Linked DNA regions of Notamacropus eugenii. The protein of the gene in region 1 purifies or fractionates together with the protein of each later gene. This does not show direct contact. Links are inferred from orthologs where the notes say so. Each region holds a gene or a part of one and is shown on either strand. Other genes may lie near its edges.

Region 1 (12,201 bases):
ATTGTTAAAATCTGGCTGCTTGTATTGGCATAACAAATACTGCAGACTTGCAAAATCTCACCCACCCAACCCGCGTCTTAATAAACTTGCTCCTTGGATTGAAAGATGGATTGAGTAGTAAAATTCTTTCAAGGTGGACCCATGCCCTATATCCTTGCATTTCAGGGTTTCTAGAACCCTTATGCTGCATCAAAACCTTATTTCCATTTGGACAAAACTTTAGTTTTCTGAAGCACATTAGGAATGAAATACCAGAATAGAAATTGCTGAGATTCTATTCATTAAACATATACAAATTAAAGCATTTCTGAGGTACCACCTCACACCTCTCAGTTTGTCTAATATGACGGAAAAGGAAAATGACCAATAATATTGGAGAATTGGAAATATACACACATTTCAATATGTTGAAAATACACACACACACACACACACACACACACACACTCAAATTTCCTCAGCTTTTAGGGAAATCCCAGGAACCCTTTGGGGTACATGTAATAGTTGCCCTCTAGGGATCAAGCTTGATAGTAGCAGTAGAAAGGGGCAGAATTGGTTCATGGCATGTATTGATGGTTTCTTCTGTTACCAGGATTTTACTTACTTTTTATTAATGAAAAATAACAACGGGTCTTGATTCATTAGATTTCAGTTTCTTGTAACTGTTTATAACAAAAATTAAAGCAGTAAGTTCAGTGGGCAAATTTGTAATTATTTCTGAAAAAAATGTACTTTTAATATTTGAAACTTGAATGGATCAATGACTACTATGAGTACTGCCTCCAAAGGTGCAGACAAAAATCTTGACGGATCTTCTCATCTTGTGTGACTTTTCTACCTGTCTTTCCCTAATCCTCCACAGGGAACCACCCAGCATGGTAGAGATCTTCTCTCTCTTGACATTGTAGGCCAATAGAACACATTTGCTAGTCATTGGTTCATTGGTTATCATCTCATCTACAGTCTCCTGATCTATATATTGCACAGGACATGGATGGCTCTGGAGGAGAAAGTGAGGCTGGTGACTTTGCTCAGCCCTCCTTCACTTAAATCCAATTCACTTTTAAGTCATGGCATGACCTTTTTCATATCATGGTCCTCTTTGAGAATAAAGGACAAACAACAACAATTTCATACTTGTTATATGGTCAACCCAACTTTCTTTGTCTGTTCATATATCTCTGTGATGATATCTTTTATACAATCTTTCCTGAATAACTCTTTGTTGTTAATTCTATATGTTGCAGTCCATTACCTAATTCTTCATTGTCCTTTGCATGAACCAAAATTTTAATTTATCAAAGACATGCATGATTTCCAGTCATACAGCATTGCTGAAAGAACATCAGTGTTACAAAGACTGGCTCTTAGGTCAGGTAGGTGGTGCAATGGATAGAGCACTGACCCTGGAGGCAGGAGGATATAAGTTCAAAACCAGCCTCAGGTAAGTTACTTAACCCTAATTGCTACCAAAAAGCTGAGAGACTAGCTTCATGGGTTATCTCTCTATAGAATATTACAAAAAAGAAACTATATTTTAATATAGAGGAAATGACTTGTCAGTGATGGGGAAATCATTTCCAAATCTTTGCATGCCAGACAACTGGCTTATTAAAGATAAAAATCAATATTCTATTAGAAGAAAGAATGTCCTTCCTCTCTTCTCTATAACAGAAGAAGCCATGGAGTGCAATTGAAACAAATCTAACTTAATTATTTAGGATTTTAATAAGGCTGACAAAAAATTCAAAATGTTCAAACCACTGATAGGTGGAAAAAGTGATGAATATAGCAAAGTAAGAAGTAAGGGAAATTGTCAAATAATTACCTGAGAGAACGTACTGGTTCACTGAGAAGCATTTCTATACATTTAAAGAACAAACACTATTTGGCAAATTATCCTTTCTAAGCTTTAGTTTTCCCATCTGTGACTACATGGTCTCTAAGGTCCCTTTGAACTATATAACATAAATTTTTCTAGAATACAGACCACAGTGGTGTGTGACCCAATTCTTCTTATGATACAAATATATTTTTTCTTTGAAAATCTGACAAAGATGAAGCCAGAAATGAAAGCCACATGCCAACTTCTCTTTTGAATTTAGTTGTAAAAATACTAAATTAAATCTTAGCAAAGAGTATAACACATTCAAAAATCTCCGCCATGAACAAATATGGTTTGTCCCTGGCATGCAAGGTTGTCACAGAACAAGAAAAGTTACTAGGACAATGTATCACATTAAAAAGAATATAAAAATACAGGAAAATCTGGAATCTTTAGGAATAAGTGGTGCTCCCTCTACTAACATGGATAGCAGTACTAATTCAATATTATCTAGAAAGTATTCCATAACGTTAAATCACTATAATAGACTAGAACCCTAAATAAACTGGATGTAGAAAAGCTAAGTTAGGTGCCCAGGGAAGAGATGCTGCCTCTGATTTTAGGTGATATCCCATAAGTACTAATTCCTTGGACTACAGCTATGGTATTAGCATTCCCAATATATAGAACTGTAACTCATGAGCCCCCATCAGCTTTCTTTTAACAGCTAATTAATAGACTGACAGCTAGGGGCAGGCAGGTGGTACAGTGAGTTTGGAGTCAAGAAGACCAGACTTCAAATACAGCCTCTGATAGTTATTGGCTGTGTAACCCTGGGCAAGTCACTTGCCCAGTTTCCTGATAATAATAGCATCTATCTCCCGGGGTTGTTATAAGAATCCAGTGAGATAATAATTGCAAAACACTTAGCAGAATGCCTAGAATGCTATAGTAAATGCTGTATGAATGTTGGCTGTTGTTATTATTATTAGAACCAATTAACTCTTAAGAAAGACATTAACTTACATGGCATAGTAAGGACAGAAGCTATAAAGCATTTCCCTGTGAACTTGGGATGTACTTACCCATGACTGCACACAATATTTGTGGTAAGAGTGGTCACAAGGCACATCTGTAAGGAACACATGGCCAAGGCACCTCACAACTCTGGAACTTTAGGGTCTCAATGTCCTTTCTCTCTTCTCTACAATAAAACAGTATCTCCATTTCCTCTCCTCTCATTGTTTTCTAAATCCTTTATAAAGTCTGACTTACAAACTCATCATTCAACTGAAACTGTCCTCTCCAAAGTTATAGATAATCACTTACTTCTCAAATCTAATGGCCTTTTCTCAGTCTTCATACTTCTTAACCTCTCTGCAACCTTTGACACTGCCAATCAACCTTTTTTGGTCACAGCTAGGTAGCACAATGGATAGAGCTCTGGACTTGGAATCAGGAAGAACCAAGTTCTATTACTGCCTCAAACATTAGCATTATTCAATCATGTCCTATTCTTTGTGACTCTATTTGGGGTTTTCTTGGCAAAGAATCTAGAGCAGTTTGCCATTTTCTTCTCCAGTTCATTTTACAGATGAAGAAATGGAGGCAAGCAATGTTAAATGACTTGCCCAGTCACACATCTAGTTAGTGTCTGAGACCAAATGACTTTTCCTAAGTCCAAGCCAAGCACTCTATCCACTGTACCATGTAAGGGCCCCAGACACTGGCTGTATGATGTAAAACTCTTTGCTAACTATATAGTGCTATGAGAATTCTCACTGTCCTGGATTCTCAATTTTCATACCACTATGGTTCTCCTTCTACCCTTTGGACTACTTCTTCTCCATCCCTTTTGTGCTATCTTCATTAAGGTCATACCCACCAAACTTAAGTGTTCCTCAAGGGTTTGTCCTGGTCCTTTTTCTCTTTCTATACTATTTTTCTTCGCAACATCATCTCTGAAGGATTTAGTTATCAACTCTATGATGATGACTCGAAGATCCATTTATTCAGTTCTAACTTTCTTCTCCAATAACCTTTCAATAACCTATTAGACCTCCCAACATGTCCAAAAACATAACTCATTATATACTTAAACTCTTCCCTCTCCTCCAACTTCCATATTAATTTTGAGGGCATTGCCATCTTCCCAAGTCATCCAGACTCTAAACTGACTTACCTGCACTTATTCACTTTGTTGTCAAATGTTGTCATTTTTGCTGTTCAGCTGTTTCAGTTATGTCTGACTCTTCATAACCCCATCTGGGGTTTTCTTGGTTTGCCATTTCCTTCTTCAATCCATTTGACAGATGAAGAAACTGAGGCAAAGGGGGTTAAGTCACTTGCCTTTGGTGCCTGAGGTAGGATTTGAATTCAGGTTTTCCTGACTCCAGGCCTAGAATTCTATCTTCTATGATACCCAAGCTGTCATTTCTACTTTCACACCATCTCTTATACTCATTCATCAGCTATTCTGGTGCAGAGCCTCATCACCTCATTTCATGCAGTGTTGCAACAGCTTTCTGAGCTGCTCCAGGTCTCTCCTACTCCAATCCATCCTCCTTTCAATTTCCAAAGTGATTTTCCTACAGGGCAAATCTGACCATGTTACTTCCTCCCCCCACATGTTCAGTCATTTTTGAGTCATATCCAATTGTTGGTGACCCATTTTGGGGTTTTCTTGGAAGAGACATTGGAGTGGTTTGCCATTTCCTTCTCCAGCTCATTTGACAGATGAAGAACACAGACAAATGGGGTTCAGTGACCTGCCCAAGGTCACACAGCTAGTACGTGTCTGAGGTCACATTTCAATTCAAAACCATGAAGCTTTCTGACTTCAAGCTCACCATTCTATCCTTAAAGGCAGGGCCTTCTTTTTTTCTTTTTCTTTTCTTTGTATCCTGTTCATGGGACCCTCTCCTCATACAATACATAATAAGTGCTTAATAAATGCTCCTAGATTTGATTGGAAAAGGAGAAATATGAGAGAGAATGGGGGATGAAGTTCAAGAGTTTTGAATTGTCAAAGGAGAGAAAACTTTCTCTCCTTGACAGCCGTCAAGTCCAAATTGAAGAGTGGCTTAGTGAAGGATTATTTTCTTGGTCTGATCACACTCTAAGTTGCTGGTCCTTTTATATGAAAATGAACCACTCTGGGGCTTCATAGTAATTACTTGAGGAGGGGAAGTTGGGATTAGACTGATAATACCATTCCTATTCATACCATTCCTCCTTCACTATAAACACACACACACATACATATACACACACTTATGTACACACAAAGATAAATATGCATACACATACATATATACATATGTGTGCATGTATGTGTGTATATATGGATATATACATGTATGTATGTATGCATGTGTGTGTGTGTGTGTATATATATATATATATATATATATATATATATATATATATATATATATATATATATATATATATATATATAAAGAAACTTGCCTCAGAAGGTGAAATAAATTGTTCCAGGGTTTGCAGACATCACAAGTAAGTCATCATAGAAACTTGTACTGATTTTCTTTCACCATGCTAGCCCCCCAAATAAAACTTTCACAAACAGTAGAATCCTTGAAAGAAGGTACCCCTGGTATCACCCAAGATCAAGAAAGAGCTATGACTTTAAGAGTGTTTTTTGTGAAAATTGGAGAAAGATGGTCATCATTAACTTTTCCATTTTACTTCACAGCAAATAATAAAAAAATCTCTCTCTCTCCCTTTCTCTCTCTCTCTCTCTCTCTCTCTCTCTCTCTCTCTCTCTCTCTCTCTCTCTCTCTCTCTCTCTCTCCCTCCTCCTCCATTTCCCCCCTCCCTTTCTCCAAAAGAAAAAATAAGAAAAGAGAAAAGAAAAAACACATCCCTTAATGCTACTCTACTTTTTCCTTCATCACTAAGGGGATGGGTGTCAGTAGCACTTTCCCTTTCTACTGCTTTGGCGGACAGCTCCAGGAATTTCCTCAGAAAGTTTGACCTTCTGGGGGCTCCGTAGATCGCTATGCATTGTGGGCCTTAGCAATATGGCGTCCCCCTTGGTGTGCTGATGAGCGGAGTTTCTCTCTCTGTCCCTGGACGACGAGGGGAAATTCCTCAAGTCAAACGATCTCTTTCTCCGTCGCCCAGGAGGGTCCTGTACCTGGCGTTTCCCCTCTCCCTGCCCTCAGGCCTAAGGGAGTGGCGGGGAGCCTTTGGGCGGGGACGAGCCAGGCCTCGGGAACCCAGGGTAGACCTGACGGAAGCCTCCCGCAGGCGGACACTATGGGCCGATCTTGGCTTCGGCTGCAGCAGCTCCGGAGAGTGCGGGGTCCGCAGGGCTGAGAAGCGCCCCGAGGAGGATCCCTGTCCCCCGTTCCCCGTCGCCTAGCCCCCTCTCGGATCTCCCACCCGCCTGACCGGCGGCCCGCAGGCAGCGACAGCTTGCGACCTTCCCGCCCGCCTCCTCGGGATCGACCGGAGGCCGGTCCGGCCCCGGTGGCCTGGAGCAGGGTCATCGGAGGTCCGAGGGCTCCCACGCTTTTGACAGCTCCATTCTCAGCCAGCTCGGGGCTCCATCCGACAGCCCACGAAGAAGTCGGTGTGGCCTGAAGCCCGGGGGCGTGGGCCCCTGGCCCTGGGGTTCTTGGCATTCCCACGCGGAGATAAGCCTCGGGAACTTGGCCAGCCCCCCGCTCCATACTGGGACGGCCTCGCCAGTGCTTCTCTTTTCCCCGCATCCACCCCTCGTTCCCATATTTCATCCTTTCTGGTGCCCACGACTCTCTAAGGCTGGAGGTTCTCGAGCGTTTGTTGCCCAGGACTCCCCCACCTCCTCCCACCCTCATGGAGTCCGAGATGCTGCAGTCGCCTCTTCTCGGGCTTGGGGAGGAGGACGAGTCCGACCTGACCGACTGGAACCTGCCTTTGACTTTCATGAAGAAGAGGCACTGCGAGAAGATCGAGGGCTCCAAGTCCTTGGCCCAGAGCTGGAGGATGAAGGACCGGGTAAATAACCGTCCTCTGCTTCCCCTTTAACTGTGGTAATTTTCCCTCCAGGGGGATCTCAGTCTAGTCCGGGTGAAGCCCGGGGCAGTATCTTGGGTGTTGTGCGGTCCTGTCTACCAGCCACATGTTGCATATCTTCTGCACCTAACAATCAAGTGGTACTTCTGCTCTAGTTTTGTTTTGTTTTTTTAAAAGAAAGACCAGCCTGAAAAACTTCAGGTGACTGATAAAGTTAGAATTAATGTAGAAAGAAACTTACTTTATTTATGGTTACCATTTTGTATACAGCTCAAGGAACATATTCCCTGCCATTCTGGCTTGGAGAAGAGTCGATTACAAACCACAAACTATTGCTTATAATTAGTGATTAGTCTACTTTTTAAACTTTTACTACTAATTAAAATGAAAAAAGTAAATAGTGTGTGGTAATCACGTGGGGCCACAAGTAAATCTAAGTTATGGAATATGGTCAGAACTACTGCCGGAGGTGGCAGCTGGTGAGATAAACTTTTGTTTTCAAGATAGATATGGATTGGACCTGTGATTTTATTGCTATAGGGAGCTCTTAGGTAAGAAAAATTCTCAACAGTAATAATGCAGGTCTACATCGTGCAACTTGCTCAGAGCACTGAGAGGTTAAGGGACTTGATCTAGTCAATATGTATCAGAGGTGGGTCTGGAACTCCTGTATTCTTGGGCTTCTCTATATACACCATTCTCATGGACCCTCTGTTTTCAAGACCCAATCAGTTTTAACATTCTAAGTAACTTGTCATAACCCCAAACTTTCCATATTTTACATGGCAGGAAATTGGAGAGAGGATTTCCAGTACAGTGAATTAGGTAATGTGGTGGATCGCCATTCCAGGCTATTGTTTCGGGAGGGAGAGAAGAAACTACTTGTGTTGGCAGTGACTTTGGGAGGCTTCCAGTGGGGAAGAAGATGGGTTAGCCAGGTAGTATTACTGTATCTGATATTCATATGCATTGCATATCCACATAACTTTCATCACAATAACCAAAGAAAATGAGTTGGACTACCAATTTCCCAGCTTCTTTTTCCATTCATTTAAATCCAATTTCACTAAAGGTGAAATCTTTAGTATTCCCTTAAAAATCACAACAAATAGGTATAAAATTACACAGGAAAATTTCTAATTTAGCCAGTCATTAGTATTTTTGGTATTTTGGTGACTTTTACTTGTAAAATGAATGGAGAAGATCTTTCATAAGCCAAAAAGTAAAGTATAAATGATAAGATCCTCAAGAATTGTGGACATCCTTTGGAGTTAATGTATGTCTTTGATGCTATTTAAAGGCTTTGTAGTTCTTGTGGTTGCTGTGAGCGTTTGAATAGCAATATTTTGTAAAACAAATCCATCCAATTTTTTAAGTATAATCTTGGTGCACCCTGCTTTTTTTCTAAAAAAGCATCACATCTTGTTTTTAATATGACAGAAAAGTCTTTCATAATGACTAGTTGTGAAATGTAGCTCTTGTTCTAAATCTGATGTTTCATCTGGCCAAAAGTGATGTGATTTCTTTTAACTTTGACTTTTTAAAACTAAAATTCTAAGTTGGGAAAGGCAAAACTCCTTAATAAGCTCCTTACAGAACACTGAGAAGAAAAATAAAAGTCCTGTAGTTCTGAATACCTTACTGAGAAGAATATTTTCATTGGCTGTGAAAATAGTCTACACTATCAGTTTGTAAATGACCTTTTGGAGTAATTTTAGAACCAACTATTATCTTTCCATTCAAAGATGCCTTGGGAAGTTGGGTCCATGGCTTCTCTCTGATGAGCCACTTGAGGGGATGTCACTTAAGAAACTTCCATTAGAGAGACGACCGTAAGCAATCACTATGGTTCCAGGCATACAAGCCAGACTATTCCATTGTTCTAGAAGGCATCTTTCTTCATGGTTAATTGAACATCATACTCATCCAAAAGTTCTACTAAGTACCTGATTTCACTGCTTCATCATCGGATCACAGATTTAGAGTTGGTACTGACCTTAGAGACCAACTCTTTGATTTTGTAAGGCCCAGAAAGGGGAAGTAACTTACTCAAGGCCTCAGGTGGGATGTAGATCTGATCCCTGGTCTCAAGTAATTTAACCTGCCTGGGTGAGGGGGTATGAAAGTAGTAGAACAAATTCCATGAAGTAGATATTAAAGTAGCCATTACTTTATAATCATATATTGTATTGGCTATGCCAATCCATATTGGTAATTGCGTAGTAAACTTTTTAAGGGTAAGAGTGGGGTAGGGAGGTACAAGTTTAAGGTATTGGGTTGATAAAATGTAGCTTGAGCTTGGTGAAGGAAATTTGTCAGCACTTTTTTTTTTTGACAAATTTGGTAAGACTGCCAGATTTGTGTTCATTCACAAAAGAGGCCCTCACAATTGACTTCAAGGGGCAAAAGAGCCTCAGGCTATAGTTTATTGGAGGGACCCTCTTCAGGAACAGTGAGGGAACCAATCATGTACAGCATAACGAATCTCTTCTGTCAAGATGTGGCAACTGATACTGGTTATCCTCACCCTGGCAAAAATCAAATGTAACCCTAACATTATGTTGCCTATGTGTAGCTAGTTAGCAGTGCTCTGTTAAGACTCCTGCCTTACATTGAGCCATATGACATGGGTTAAGAAAAATAGCAAATTACTTCTGTTATTTCTATTGACAGATTAGATATTTATGAAAAATAACTCCCCACAGAATGATTGAACTTTTTTTCTCTTGTTTTCCTGAGGCATCTTCATCCCTCTCCTCTCCTCCCCCCCTCCATTGGTTGATATTTAAAAACTAAATTTAGTGTATGAATGAATACATCTTTTAGAAATATCAAAAATTTTGTACTATGATTTTTTCATTTTTCTGTTGAAAGGCTTTTCACTATCACCAAACTCTCATGGGATACATTTTGTCTAGCTACAAAAAGAAAATGGGAAAACCTGATGTTAAAATATTCTTTGTGAGTTCAGAAATGAATGAGAACATTTTTTCCCTCTCATTATCACTTTGTAGGATTCTGAAGTTGGTATTTTAATTAGAATGCAGGTGGTTATATATAGATGGATCATGGGATCATAACTGGAAAAAAATCTACTCCAACCTCCCTCATTTTACATACAAAAGAAACTGAGACTTCCCAAGTGTCACAGTTAGTAAGTAGTATTAGAGGCAGAATTTGAACCCATCCTCCTTTTCTAGAGATAGATCTCTTTTTGTCTATGCCAAAAGCTTATTCTCAACACCTTTTATTTTTAAAGGGAAACTAAGAGTAATATGTTAAAAGCCTAGAGAGGAGAGAGTATCAGTGAGGGAGAAGGTGGTCATTCGTGTCAGCTGTTGTCTCTGCCATGCTGCCTCTCCAGCTGCACCTACAGTTTTTTTTATCCCTTTCACCTTTTATTTAAAGTTGACTAAAATTCACTTTGGTCATCCACAGTACCTTGTTGCAGTAGGGCTACTTTTAACATTTCCTTTTTAGCATGATTCAGTTACCTAGAAAATGCTATTTCTGTGAAAGCACTGACATAATATGTTAATGTTTTAATTTTATTTTTAGAGATAAGGAGCAGGCTGACATCAGGTGCTGATAGTTGTGCCTTTGTAGAGAATTTGGAACCCTTAGAGATAGAATAGGAGTGCATATGAAACTAAGTGAAATTTTTTTTTCTGAAAAAAGATAATTTCTTACAGGAGCTAAGTATATCTAGTCCTCAATATTATGTTTTTTTCAAATTAAAAAAATCATTGACCAAATTCATATATTTATTCTTAATTTTTGAATAATGTCAACCATCACTATCAGTAAAACCCTCCACCCACAACATTGAATTTTTCTGTTGTTTCATTATATTCCAACCTTAACTCATAATACTTACATGCAAAGGGAGGTGCCTGGTACATAGTAAAAACTTGATAAATGCTTGTTGACTGACTGTGCTTGAGTGTGTGGGGGAGGCCAGATATAAATGAAATGTTACTAGAACTTAATTACACTGGTGAGACAATATACAGCCATATGAAAAGTTAAGTAAAAATACAAGGTAATAATTATTAAAACACATTTGAATAATGCTATAATTTAAGGAAGACTATTTGAAGTTCCAAGAATTGAGGTTATTAGACATATAGAAAAGGCTTCTGAGATCAGTAAGTTGATTCTCAGTACTTAGTGCAGAAGTTCTTTCCTTATGGCTATTGTAATGTTACCATACTTCTTTAGTATATTTCATATTAAAATTGTCATTCTTATGAAAATTGCCTCTGAGTTTTGAATGGATCCTGGAGGCTTTTAAAACCTATTGCTTAAATATAAGAAACATTTGGTGGGTAGATTAGGCTGCAGCTGCGTAGTGCTCTAAGCTTGAATTAAGAGGTAATGGTATCTGAAACTCCTTTTAGTGGTTTTATTTTAGAGTTGAAACAAGTAATCTCATCAAAATTTTCTCTGTTCAACAGAAGTTCCCTCTCATTTAATGTAGGAATCTCTTCAAGACAATCCTTGACAGATGGTTGCCTAGCCTGTACTCTAATACTTCTAGCAAAATTAGTAGTTATATTAACTAGGTCATTATATTATTTATTATATTTATGTGATGTTTATTATTATACAATATGTTATATAATATTTTTATGTTATATATATTATATATAAGTTATATTATATATATGTATACTACTGGATACTACTGTATACTTCCAGAGAACCTACCTACTATCAATCAGTGGCCTTCTGCCCACACTTTTAAAGGCCTAAAAAGTACCCTACTTGTCAATTAAAATATAACACTTCCTTTTTTTCCCCCAAGGAAATTGTAATTTGAGCTGAATCTACTTCCTTTTTTCCTCTTGTTAGTTACATTTATTCTAACTTCAAATTGAGGATGTCACATTTAAATTTTTGTCAATTGTAGCATAGTTGAAGAAGCAGGGAAAAAAAGCTGTTTCATGTGGTAAGCCTTTATGTTGACTTCCTTATTGATAAAAGAAGATAACACCTGTTAGCCTGGAGCTAATTGTCTTGCTTTTAGATCAATCAGTTCACTTTCACTTCTTCCTGTTCCATTTTCCTCTTTCACTTTTTTTGCTGTACCATTTGTCAATGTCTTCACTAAGGAGAGTAGGACAAGAAAGGTTTAATAAGTAACAAGTTGTTACTTTTTAGCAGTTCTTAGAAAAGGTCTGATGTAAAGAAATTGAAACTGTTGGTGAAAATAAGGTTTCATGGTGTCTGGTTCAAATTTATGCCACTCTTAGTCTCTTTTCACAGGTGACTGATAGCTAAAACAAATTAATAACTTTATCCAGCAACAGGGCAATGTTTTATGATGTTACTAAACTTTTAAAGAACATTTT
Region 2 (12,127 bases), on another chromosome or scaffold:
CCAGCACACAGCACTGAGGTGCTCTGCTTACATAGAGTGGGAGAGGTAGGAATGATCCAGTGAAGAAAATTAAGAAGGTTAAGAGGAGAAAAAGTCAAGAAAAGTGTCATGGAAACAGAGAGGAAAAAATGTCTGAAGAGTGAGTAGCTGACTGTATCAAAAACTGCAGAGCAGTCAAATAAGATGGGGACTCAGAAAATGCCATAGCAATAAATAATTAGGAAACCAACTTGTTCAAGAGTAATTTCACCAGAGGGTGGGTGGGTTCAGAAGCCAGACCACAAATGGTTGATGAGTGAGGAGGGAGGAGAAGAAATGGAGGAAAATCGAAAAAAGGTTTCTTGAGGATGGGGAAGACATAGGCACATGGCCTTGGAGAACCTGGAGACACCCCCCATGCCATGCTTAGGTATCAGAGAACTTCAGATGAGGCTTTACACATGTCCTCATTTGTAAAATTAGAAGTCCTCTATCATGAGGCTTGTACTACCTGTGGCAGTTTCCTCTTGTCTCTAGGATAAAACAGAACCTGGATTTTCAGGCTCTCCACAATACAGCTTTGAGCTACTTTTACATGATCACTCCTTATAGAAGGAGCAACATCCCAATTCTTGTACCCCTATAAGTTAGACTAATTTTTCCATAAAAAGGCATTGAGGCTGAGGGTTCTTGGGCTTGGGAGAGGAGAGGGAACTGCATGTATTCAATGTGTGGAGGCAGCAGTGGGCTGTGAGCACGGATTGATGAGATACCTATGAACTTTTCTGAGTCCGCTGCTCCCAAGTATAAAGGAAACTGAGGAACATTACCAAGTTAGACACAAGTTACCCACTTCAATTCCTTTACTATGGAGTCTGTTCATTCTCAGCTGAGCACTGTAAATACATATTGATGCTGCCAAATGAGTTTATAAAATTCACTGTGGAAGAGAAAAAGAGAAAGAGAAGAAAATAACACAAGACAGGTGGAAAGAGCCAAATAAAACAAAAAAAGAAGAGTGCTGCCAAAGGTTAGGATAGCCAAAATTCCTAGAACAAAGAAGAAATATCTAACGAAGATATGCAGCCTTGCAACTTCTGAAATTAGCCTTTTTAAACATAAACCATTTTCGCTCAGAAACTTTCCTGAGGTCCCTCAGGCAATCCTCATTTGGGGAGACTTTACAGATAACATTATTGATGAAATGCAGAAGTGGCCTGGATTATGGTGGACAGTGACAGCAATGGGCATCTTAGGGAACTTAAAGAATAATTTTCATAATCTATCTTTAGAGAAGGAAAGAGAAATTCCATTTAAAATAACTGTAGACAATATAAAATACTTGGGTATCTATCCTAAACCCAGGAACTTTGAACACAATTACAAAATACTTTTCACACAAATAAAGTCAGATCTGAACAATGGGAAAAATAGTAATTGCTCATAGGTAGGCCAAGCCAACGTAATAAAAATGACAATTCTACCTAAATTAATTTATTTATTCAGTGCCATACCACTCAAACTACAAAAAAATTATTTTACAGAGCTAGAAAAAAATCGTAAAATTAATTTCGAATTAATCTGGAAAAACAAAAATCAAGAGAATTAATGAAAAAAATGTAAAGGAAGGTAGCCTGGCCATATCAGATCTCAAATTGTATTATAAAGCAGTAATCATCAAAACTATCTGGTACTAGTTAAGAAACAGAGTGGTGGAGCAGTGGAACACAGTAGTCACACAAGACTTAGTAGGAAATGACCATAGTAGTCTAGTATTTGATAAACCCAAAGACCCCAGCTTCGGGGACAAGAACTTACTATCTAACAACAACTTTTGGGAAAACTGGAAAGGAATATGGTAGCAACTAGGCATAGACCAACATATACCACGATAAAATCAAAATGAGTACATGATTTAAACATAAAGGATGAGACCATAAGCAAATTAGGAGAGCAAGGAGTAGTTAACCTGTCAGATCTATGGAGAAGGAAAGAATTTATGACCAAAGAAGAGACAGAGAGTATTACTAGATCTAAAATGGACGATTTTGATTATATTAAGAGTTTTGTACAAACAAAACCAATGCAAAACAAAACCAAAATTAGAAGGGAAGCAGAAAGCTGGGAAACAATTTTACACCAAGTAAACTGAAATGGAAAATCTGATAAAGGCCTTATTTCTCAAATATATACAGAACTGAGTCAAATTTATAAGAATACAAGTCATTCCCCAATTGATAAATGGTCAAGGGTGTAAATAGACAGTTTTCAGGCAAAGAAATCAAAGCTATCTATAGTCATAGTCACTATTGTTTAGAGAAATGCAGGTTAAAACAACTCTGAGGTATCGCCTCACACCTATCAGATTGGCTAACGTGACAGAAAAGGAAAATAATAAATGTTGCAGGGGATGTGGGAAAACTGGGACCCTAATACACTGTTGGTAGAGTTGTAAACTGATCCAATCATTCTGGAGAGCAATTTGGAACTACATCCAAAGGGCTATAAAATTGTACATACTTTCTGATCCAGCAATACCACTACTAGATCCATATCCCAAAGAGATTAAAAAAAGGAAAATGAACCAATTGTACAAAAATATTCATAGCAGCTTTTTTTGTGGTGGCAAAGATTTAGAGACTGAGAGGATGCTCATCAACTGGGGAATGGCTGAACAAGCTGTGATATATGATTGTAATGGAATACTACTGTGCTATGGGAAATGGTGAACAGGCTCATTTCAGAAAAACCTGGAAGGACTTACATGAACTGATGCAAAACAAAGTGAGCAGATTAAGGAGAACATTGTACCTAGTAACAGAAATACTGTACTATGATCAAACTGTGAATGACTTAGCTGTTCTCAGCAATACAAAGATCTAAGACAATTCCAAAGGACTCATGCTGAAAAATGCTATCCACCTCCAGAGAAAGAACTGATGGAGTGTGAATGCAGATCAAATCATACTATTTTTCACTTTCTGTATTTATTTCCTTTGGGTCTGTGTTTTCTTTCACAACATAACTACTATGGTAATATGTTTTACATAACTGAACATGTATAATCTATATCAAATTGCTTACTGTCTCAGAGGGGGGAGGTGAAAAAGGGAGTGGAAAAATTTGGAACTCAAAATTGTAAAAATAAAAAATGAATGTTAAAAATTGTCTTTACATGTAATTGGGGAAAAAGAAAATACTATTTTAAAAAAATCTGGTTTTAGTGACCTAAAATTATAGTTGATAAAACCAAAGAAAGGCCTTTAACAAATATATCTCTGTATTTGTATATATGCAGATAAATATATGTATGTGTACATATAAATACATAACCTACAGTATCTTTTCTTCTTGGCATTTCACTGTTCTGTACAAGGTTGACTGATTTTTTTTAGCTGTCAAAGCCTAATAAAATGGTGGGGAAATGCGTCATACTTATGCATGAAAGAGATTTATTTAAATAAGAAATTTTGGTCAAATCATTAAAAAAAAGTATTGAACCAAAGGCTCAGGCTGATGAACTGGTTTCCTCATTGCTTGAGCACAAAACAGCCAGGAGGAACTTCAGTTGTTATCTATATCTGGCTGCTGGAAAATGTATGACATTCATTGTCTTTAGATGAGAGCTTCATTCAGTTGAATCAACTAGAGATGTCTTCCATGCTTAATTTTATTGGATATCCTGCAGCTATGAAAGGACAGGAACAGAAATCTACTATGTGCCAGATACTATGCTAAATACCTTTTACAAATATCATCTCAGTTGAACCTCACAAAAAACCTGGGAGGTAGGTGCTATTACTATCCTCATTTTATAGTTCAGGGAACTGAGAAAACCAAGAAATCAAGTGACTTGCCCAGGGTGATACAGGCAGTTAATATCTGAGGTCATATTTGAACTCAAGACTTCCTGACTCCAGACCCAGCTTTCTACCCACTCTTCCAATTGCTGAATGATCTGAGTGTTCTTTTTCCTTGTCTCCACAACACTTGGCATATAGTTAGGTGCTTAATAAATGTTAAGTGACTGTCCCATTTTGTTTCAATACTGAATCTGAATTACAGTTCTGACCTGGATCTGGCCCAGCCCAGAACATTCCTCCTCACATACACTCTGCTTCATAGACAGCCATGGGATGACAAAACAATTTCCACCATGTGCTCTGTACTCTCTAACTCTATGAAGGCAGAAATAGGTCTTGGATGTTCGCATTGCAGAAAATAGGTACTTAACAGTCTAGCACAGTATTAAGCACCTACTGGGTGCAGCACCTTATGCTAAGTGCTGCCTGTACAGATACCCATTCCGAGGAGAAGGCACTGTGCAAGGGCACTGCAGAAAACGGCCCAGGTCCTGTCTGCGCAGGGCCTGAAATCGACAAGCTTCTGGTCGATTTCAGGGACACCAACAGTAACAAGCGTTTACACGCACAGGTGTCTGCTGAATGCATGAGGCCGCTCCTGAAGCACCTCTTCTGGCTTCTAGGAGCCCAAGTTCCAGAAGGTCGGACCCCCTCTCAAAGGAAAAAGAGGCTGTCCCCTTTTCACCCTCCCCGAGCACAAGGAACAAGGTAGGTGGGACCCCCTGCAGGGCGGTCAGCCCTGCAGCCCGCATTTGCGTGGCAGCCGCAAGGGGGCAGCCACCGCCTGCCAGGCCAGGGAGTGGCGCAGCCGTGCGAAGCGCAGGCGCAAGGCCTGAGAGGAGGGAGGGGCGATGGGGAGGCGAAGGGGGGCAGCCGCCGAGATTAAGCCTCGGCCGCCGCCGCTGCCATGGCGCGCATGCTCAGTTCGACACAGTCAAGTCTGTGAGGCGGGGGTTTTTAGGGTCGGGAGCCACCTTAAGCTCAGTCCCAGCCCGGGTCCGTGCGTGGAGTCGCGCCGGCTGCCTAAAGCTTCCCCTCTCTGCCCCCGACGCCGCGCAATCTGCCTCCCGAGCCCCCTGCCGCAGGGACCCAGGCACCGTACCTCACTCACACAAGGATCCCCTCTCCACCGGGGCTCAGGACGGCTGGGAGAGTCGGAACGAATCGATGGGCAGCGAACCTGAGCATAGCATCATCGATTGGATTCTTTTAGCTCTAGGGCGAAACCATGGGAGAGGAGGGGGAAGGGAAACTGGATGAGACCATAGTTCGGCGTGGTGGGGGGAACTTCTCGTCTCCTTAGGAGCCCCCTGGGGCTGTCCCCTTGCGTCTCATTTGCATATTGAAGTCCTGGTGGCCCAATCTAATGACCTTTTCTCCGTCCTTAGCCTCGTGGGCCTTTCTGCCCCATCGGACAGTGCTGACCACCATACACCTCCCCACCTGAAGGGGACCCCCGCTGTGCGCAGCAGAAATGAGAGCACGTGACCTTGCACAGGCCGTGGGCTCAACCACATCCACTACCAATTGATGTTGTCTCCTCTCCGCCGAGCTTCTCTGAAGCTTCTGCTCCTTCCTAGTGGGTTCTCCGCACCGCATCGGCTCTGGACCCCTTTTCTCCTCCCACTGCAGCTTCTTCGCAGCGCACCCCCACCTTCCAGCCCCCCAGCCTAGGACCTGGCATCGTCCTGTCATGGGGACATTAAATTGGGGCAACCTGTCCCTAGCTCCCTCTTCTCCCCTTCTCTCAGCCCCTCCCCATTTCTCTCCCCCTTTATACCGACTCCGATGAAGGTCAGCCCCTGTCCACGTACCCCTGCTTCTCATCAGATCGCCCCCGCTGTCATCTCCTCTTTCTCTCACATCTTTATTCAGCAGGCGCTTATGAAATGCCCACCAAGCGCTAGGCGAGGTGCAGGTTTACCAGCAGGCTCGTAAGGGTTAAACACGATGTCTTTTTTCTTCTGCTTTTATCCCTCTTGACCTCTGCAGCTTTTGATTGCACTGACCACATCCTCTTTCAGGATATTCTGTTTCCCTTGGATTTGAAATGCTTCTGTCTCCTGGTTCTCCTTCTGTCTGTCTAACTACTCCTCCGTCTCCTTTGTTTCCTCTCCATTCATCTCTGTCCGGGGCTTTCTCTTTTCTTTCTGTAATTTCTTTCTTGGTGATCTTGTCAGTTCCCAATCTCAATCTCTCTCTCTCTCTCTGTCTCTCTCTCTCTCTCTGTGTCTCTCTCTCTCTCCTTCTCTCCTTCTCTCTCTTCCTCCTTTTCCATATAAATACACACTTGTTTATATATACCATATATATGTATATACATGTAGATGTATGTATGTATTTCCAAGTTTCCCTCTTTAAAATGTAAGATCCTCTAGAGTTGGGACCAAGTTTTTAAAATTTTCTTTACGTCCTTGGTGCTTAGCACAGTTCCTGTGGCACAGTTAAGTGCTAGGAATTGCTTGTTGACTACTGACTGACTAACATCTTTCCTAAACTTCAAGCCACATAACCAAATAATTGCCTGCTGAGCCTCATCATCCTCTGATATCTTGGGTGGCTCTCCCCTTCCTCCATCTCAGATTCAACGTGTCCAGAACTGAACTCCATGTCTTCCATCCCTATCCCCAGACCTTTGTTGCTCACCAGTCTTATCCAATTCTTCATGACTTCATTAGGGTTTTTAAAGTATTGGAGTACTTTGCTATTTCTTTCTTCAGCTCATTTTTACAGATGAGGAAACTAAGGCAAACAGGGTTAAATGTCTTGCCCAGGGTCAAACAGCTAATGTCTGAGTCTAGATTTGAACTCAAGAAAGTGAATCTTCCTGACTTCAGGCTGAGCACTCTACCCACTGAACCACTTAGCTGCCCAAACCTACTTTTGCTATAAACTTCCTATTTTTATTAAGAGAACCACTATTATTCCTCCCCCAAACAATCAGTAGTTGAGTATTGTTAGTTTCTGGAATCCATCCATTCACCTGGCCTCCTGTCCAGTTCAAACACTCCTCACTTCTCCCTTGGATTACTACAGTAGCCTTCCAATAGGTCTCCCTGCTTCTACTCTCTCCTCTCTCTATGTCATTCTCTATATATAACCACCAAAAAAATCTTCCTAATGCCTGACCATGTCATTTCCTTGCTCAAAAATTCCCTATTTCCCCTAGGATAAGACACATATTCCTTCACCTGGAATTTAACCCAACCTGGCACCAAAATGCCTTTCCAGCATTATTTCAGCTTCTTCCCCTATGCCAACCAAACTGACTTACAGAGCATGCCCTGAACCTTCCATTTTTCACACCTACAATCCTCTGAACCCCTAACAGTTAGATGTCTTCCTTTACTTTAAGGCTCAACTTGTAGGTTATCTCCTTACAGGAAGCCTTTCCTAATCACTTTCCTTGTTACCATTTTCTCCCTTCTCAAAGTATCTTGTATTTACCTACTGTGGAATGTAGTATCCTCTCAGCAGACTGTAAACTTCTAAGGGACAGATATTATTTTTCCTTTTGCCTTTGTATCCCTAGCACTGAACACGGTATCTAACTAAATTTGTTGTTGAATCGTTTCAGTCAGTTCTGACTCTCTATGACCCTTTTGGGGGTTTTCTTGGTAAAGATGCTGGAGTGATTTGCCATTTCCTTCTCCAGCTTCTTTTACAAACTTTTTACAAACTAAGGCAAAGAGGGTTAAGTGACTGGGCCCAGGGTCACACAGCTAGTAAGTATCTGAGGCCTGATTTGCCTCAGGTCCTCCTGACTCCAGCACTGGCATTGGACCACCCAATTGCCCAATAAAAGCATGTTAAATTGGCATTTTAAATCTAGCCCCACCCAATCTATCCACTCTTATTTCACATTGTTCCCTTTTATGTGTTCTACATTCCAGCAGCACTGAGCTATTTAGCACTACCTGAATTTGGTAATATAATCTCTTCTCATCTTTCCTTCCTAGAATCTATCACTCCTTTCAATGTTCAATTCAAGGACTATCTCCTATAGAAAGCCTTTCTTCTTCTCTTTAGTTGTTAGTATCCTTTCCCTCTTTATATTATCTTGTATTTACGGAACTATGTAATTAGTCAAACATTGAATATAAGCTTATAAACTCTTTGAGAGCAGAAACGTGTGTGTGTGTGTGTGTGTGTGTGTGTGTGTGTGTTTGTTTGGATCCTTGGTAGCTTAGACACAAATGGCACTTTCCAATCCTCTATCAATGCTGGTGCCTTCCCTCTGTTCATTCTCTCCAACTCATCATTTATGTATTTTGTGTGTACATAGCATGTGGTCTCCCCTGTTAGTCTCCTTGAGAGCAGGGTCTTTTACCTTAGCACAGTGCCTGGCACAGAGTAGACAATAAATGTTTGTTGAATTGTTGAGGGGACAGACTGATACTCAGGTCTTGAAAGGGATAGACAGAGACATCTGACTTTGAGGGGAAAGAAAAATATTCAAGCTTTTTCAGATATTGACTGACAGTGGATTCTCAGAGAACAGATAAATATTCAGGACCTATCAATGACACAGGGTCAGGCTCTAAAGGGATAGAGGGTGAAAACACCCAAGGTTGCGAGGGGAGAGATGTTCTTTTTCAAATCGAGGAGAGATAACTCCTTGCCCTTCCTTGGGAGGGACATACAGACTGGGGCAATTGGATATTCAGACCCAGAGGAAATAAACAATCAGGTCCTGAAAAAGAGAGACCAAGTCAGACTTGACTCAGAGAGGAAAAATACACCCAGGGTCACCAGATAAGGAAAGGGGAAGGGAACAGGCATTTAAAAAAAAAATACCTATTTTGCACCAGGCACTTGTGCTAAACACTTTTTCAGTATGTTGTCTAATTTGATCTTAATCCTAACCTGATGAGGTAGGTGCTGTGATTATCGATCTCCATTTTACAGTTGAGGAGACTGAAGCAAGCAGAGGTTAAATGACTTGCCTAGGGTCACACAACTAGTAAGTATCTGAGCTGGCTTTGAACTCAGGTCTTCCTGACTCCAGGCCCTGTGCTCTATCCATTTAGCCACCTAGCTGAGTGAGTGAGCAGACTTCCAGTTCTGAAGGGCAGAGACAGATATTAGGGTCTAATCATTAGGCTTTGAAAATGACAGACATGAAGGGCCCATTAGAGAAAAAATGGACATCTCAGTCTGGAGAGGACAGGTATCACACCCGGAAGCAGTGTGTCACAGTAGAAAGTGAATTAATCAGCTTCGAAGTCAAAGGACCTGTATTCAGCTCCTACCAATCTTACCATCTGTGTGGTCTTGGGTAAATCATTTAGACTTTCTTAGGTCTCTGTTTTTCTTATCTTTCTAGTGGGTATAGGAATAAATGGCCCCTGAAGTCCCTTCTAGCTCCAGAGATCTGATTCTTTCATTCTGTAATTATGCATTATCATATTCAACCTTTGGAAAGGAGAAACAGAACACATGTGCCCTGAGGGAACAGAGGTCTTGACTGGGACAGGTAGATTTCCAGGCCCTGAAAGAGACAAGAATCCAAGATCGGAGTAGATAGACCAACATCCAAGCTTTTTGAGAAATAAAGACAACTAGGCCATAAAGTGAAGACAGAGACATCCAAATACTGAAAGAGGCAGATGGGCACCCAATGGAAATATTTAAACCCTGAAGAGATAGACTGACATTTAAAATCTGAGTGGACAGATGGAAATCTAGGTCCTAATAGGAATAGCAGCCTTAAAAGGCAGTTAAACATGTAGCTCCTGAGCAGAAAAGCAGACATAGAGTCCTTAAGGAGAGGAGAGGCAGGTATCTAGGATCTGAGCAGACCTATAGATAGGGATGCTCTTAAAGAACAGCTAGACTTCACCAGAAAGGGGACAGAGGAGGTAATGATGCTGGGGGTAATGGGAGCAGGGTGATGTGGTACAAAGTACAAATGCAAATATTGAGTTCAAAGTGAGTTGACTTGCCATTCTGGTCCAGCCTTTTTCACTTATTACCTGTGCACCTCTGGGCCTCCATTTTCCGTCTCTAGGTGGAAGATTCTGCAATGGACAAGGTATCTTTAAGTCTAGGGAGTTTATGAACTGATAGAATATGAAGGTGCAATGAAAAGAAGGATTTCTTGAGTTTTACCTCATAAGGTATGAGTCACTGACCACTAGGAAGCATTAGAGGAGATTAAGAAAAGAGCAGGAGAAGAAACTGTAGTTTAGACAGAAGGAGAAGTAGGCCAGGAAGCAGAGAACAAAAGGAATCACATGAAGCCAGGGGCAGACAACCTAGATGGCTTCTAGCTCTATCCCTACCTTACCTTAGACCCCAACAGAGAGCTTTGATTTGGGGCAGCTTGGCATACCCCTCTCTGGGAAATCCAGACTAACTGGGAGAATGAAGGCTGAATGACTGAGGCAGCCCAGAGGGACAATCCATGCCAAGTACAGGCTATGCTACATTTTCATCTTACTCTTCCAATCTCTTTGACTATTCCCTTCTTTAAGGGTACTTCTCCATTTCTATTACACTTGAAAAAGAGATTTTACCCAATACTCTGTTCTAGATCTCTCTCTGTATATATGTGAAGATGTACATATATGTAAATATATACTTATATAAAGATGTACATACATGTAATGATGTACAGACATGTAAAGATGTACACATATGAGAGAGGAAAAGGGAAAGGGGGAGAGAGAGAGAGAGAGAGAGAGAGAGAAATGGAGAGAGAGAGAGATCTCATCAGCTCATAAACTCCTTAGCTTTCTCCTTAGATTAGCTTGCCTGGGTTGCCAGCAGGCAGAACCTATTGAGCATGCTCCCTGAATCAAGCCCTCATTGGCCAGTCCCCCATGATATGATGAATAAAATAAGGCAAAGGCAGGTTCCCTGAGGCTCAGTAGATATCACTTACATTTATCTGCAGCAGTCCCCAACCCTCTTGCCTCATTTTTGTGGCATGTCCTAGCTAGGACATATTCTAATAGGCAGTGATGCATCCTGAAAATGACTGGAATTTCCATGTTGTTGCCCCCATGACTGTAACTTGTTGACTAATAGCCAGTCATCTGGAAGTAGACTTTGCAGCTGTTTGAACAGGGCACTGGATGTTCATCTGTCGGCCTTATCTCTCCCCACTCCAATCCATATTTGATTCATATTTGACCTTCCTAAAGCACAAGTCTGATCACACCACTCCTCACCCACCCCAGTCAACTCCAATGTCTCCCTATCACCTCTAGGATCAAATACAAAATCCTGTTTGTCTTTCAAACCTAGGTGACTTCTACCTGCCACATATTCTGATCCAGTGACATTGGCTTCCTGGCTGTTCCATGAACAAGATACTCCATCTCGTGGCTCTGGGCATTTTCTCTGGCTGTCCCCCACCTATTGGCTTCTTTGGCTTCCTTTAAGTCCCAGCTAAAAACCCATCTTCTACAAAAAACCTTTCCCAACCTGTCTCAATTTTAGTTGTTTCCCTCTCTTAAGTATTTCCTATTTAACCTGCATAGAACATGTTTGTACATATTTGTTTGTTAGCTCCTTAAGGATAAGCGACTATCTTTTGCTTGTTTTTGTATCCCCATCGCTTAGCACAGTCACCAGCACATAGTAGGTGCTTAATAAATGTTTATGAACTGACTGAGGAGGGTGCTATACCTGGGTCACTTGCTGCTGAGAAGGGAGGAGGGCATCTCTTCCCTACAGGACATGTACATCCTTCTCAGTTCATTCATTTATTACCCCGGGGGTTTTAAAGTTGCTCACCAATTCCTAGTCACTGATGGCAAGTTAAGTAACCAGTTCTCAAATGCCTTCCTTTGTGGTTATCTCTTTGGGGATAGGCAAATTTCGACGGTTTCAGGCAGCTCATGCAGCATAACAACTGCATTATCTTCCTTCTTGTGTGCCTTATTCAGTACCTTATGCATCCTGAGAGGTTACAGCATAATGGAATCAATGTTTTCATTATTGTATACAGTATACCATCCTAAAGCAACAACTCTGACAGTCTTCTTCCACCATTTAGCACCAATTCTCAGACAACTGAGTAACTGTAATAGTTCTTCATCCCAACACACAATTATAAAATTATTCCTCAGATTAACTTGCCTAGATTGCTACCAGTGTCTCTACTGAATAAACTATTGCCAAATTGTAGCCTAGAACTTGAAAACATGTAACCTATTATATAACGGCTCTATTATACTGTACTGGATTTTAGCTGTCATAGGATTGGATCAAGGGAGTCCCTACTCAATTTGATGAATTCCCCAATCAGCTTCATGGGATTAAAAAGCATAAGCTTT

The links.
Region 2: the proteins of RPTOR (region 1) and MLST8 purify together in Homo sapiens (affinity purification with western blotting; 15 studies listed by BioGRID and IntAct, with this or other methods). This does not show direct contact. The link is inferred for Notamacropus eugenii from reciprocal best matches to the Homo sapiens genes RPTOR and MLST8.

Annotation. Positions count from the first base shown.
Region 1 is NC_092873.1:323,390,530-323,402,730, forward strand, and holds the start of RPTOR (regulatory-associated protein of mTOR), read left to right. Parts: upstream 1-5,848; 5' UTR 5,849-6,667; coding exon 6,668-6,829; intron 6,830-12,201. UniProt on the Homo sapiens protein: Component of the mechanistic target of rapamycin complex 1 (mTORC1), an evolutionarily conserved central nutrient sensor that stimulates anabolic reactions and macromolecule biosynthesis to promote cellular biomass generation and growth.
Region 2 is NC_092872.1:47,794,603-47,806,729, forward strand, and holds the start of MLST8 (target of rapamycin complex subunit LST8), read right to left. Parts: upstream 5,766-12,127; 5' UTR 5,657-5,765; intron 5,034-5,656; exon of another isoform or gene 4,945-5,033; intron 4,551-4,944; coding exon of another isoform or gene 4,255-4,550; exon of another isoform or gene 4,171-4,254; intron 1-4,170. Other genes in the region: hexosaminidase D-like, read left to right, coding at 4,255-4,550.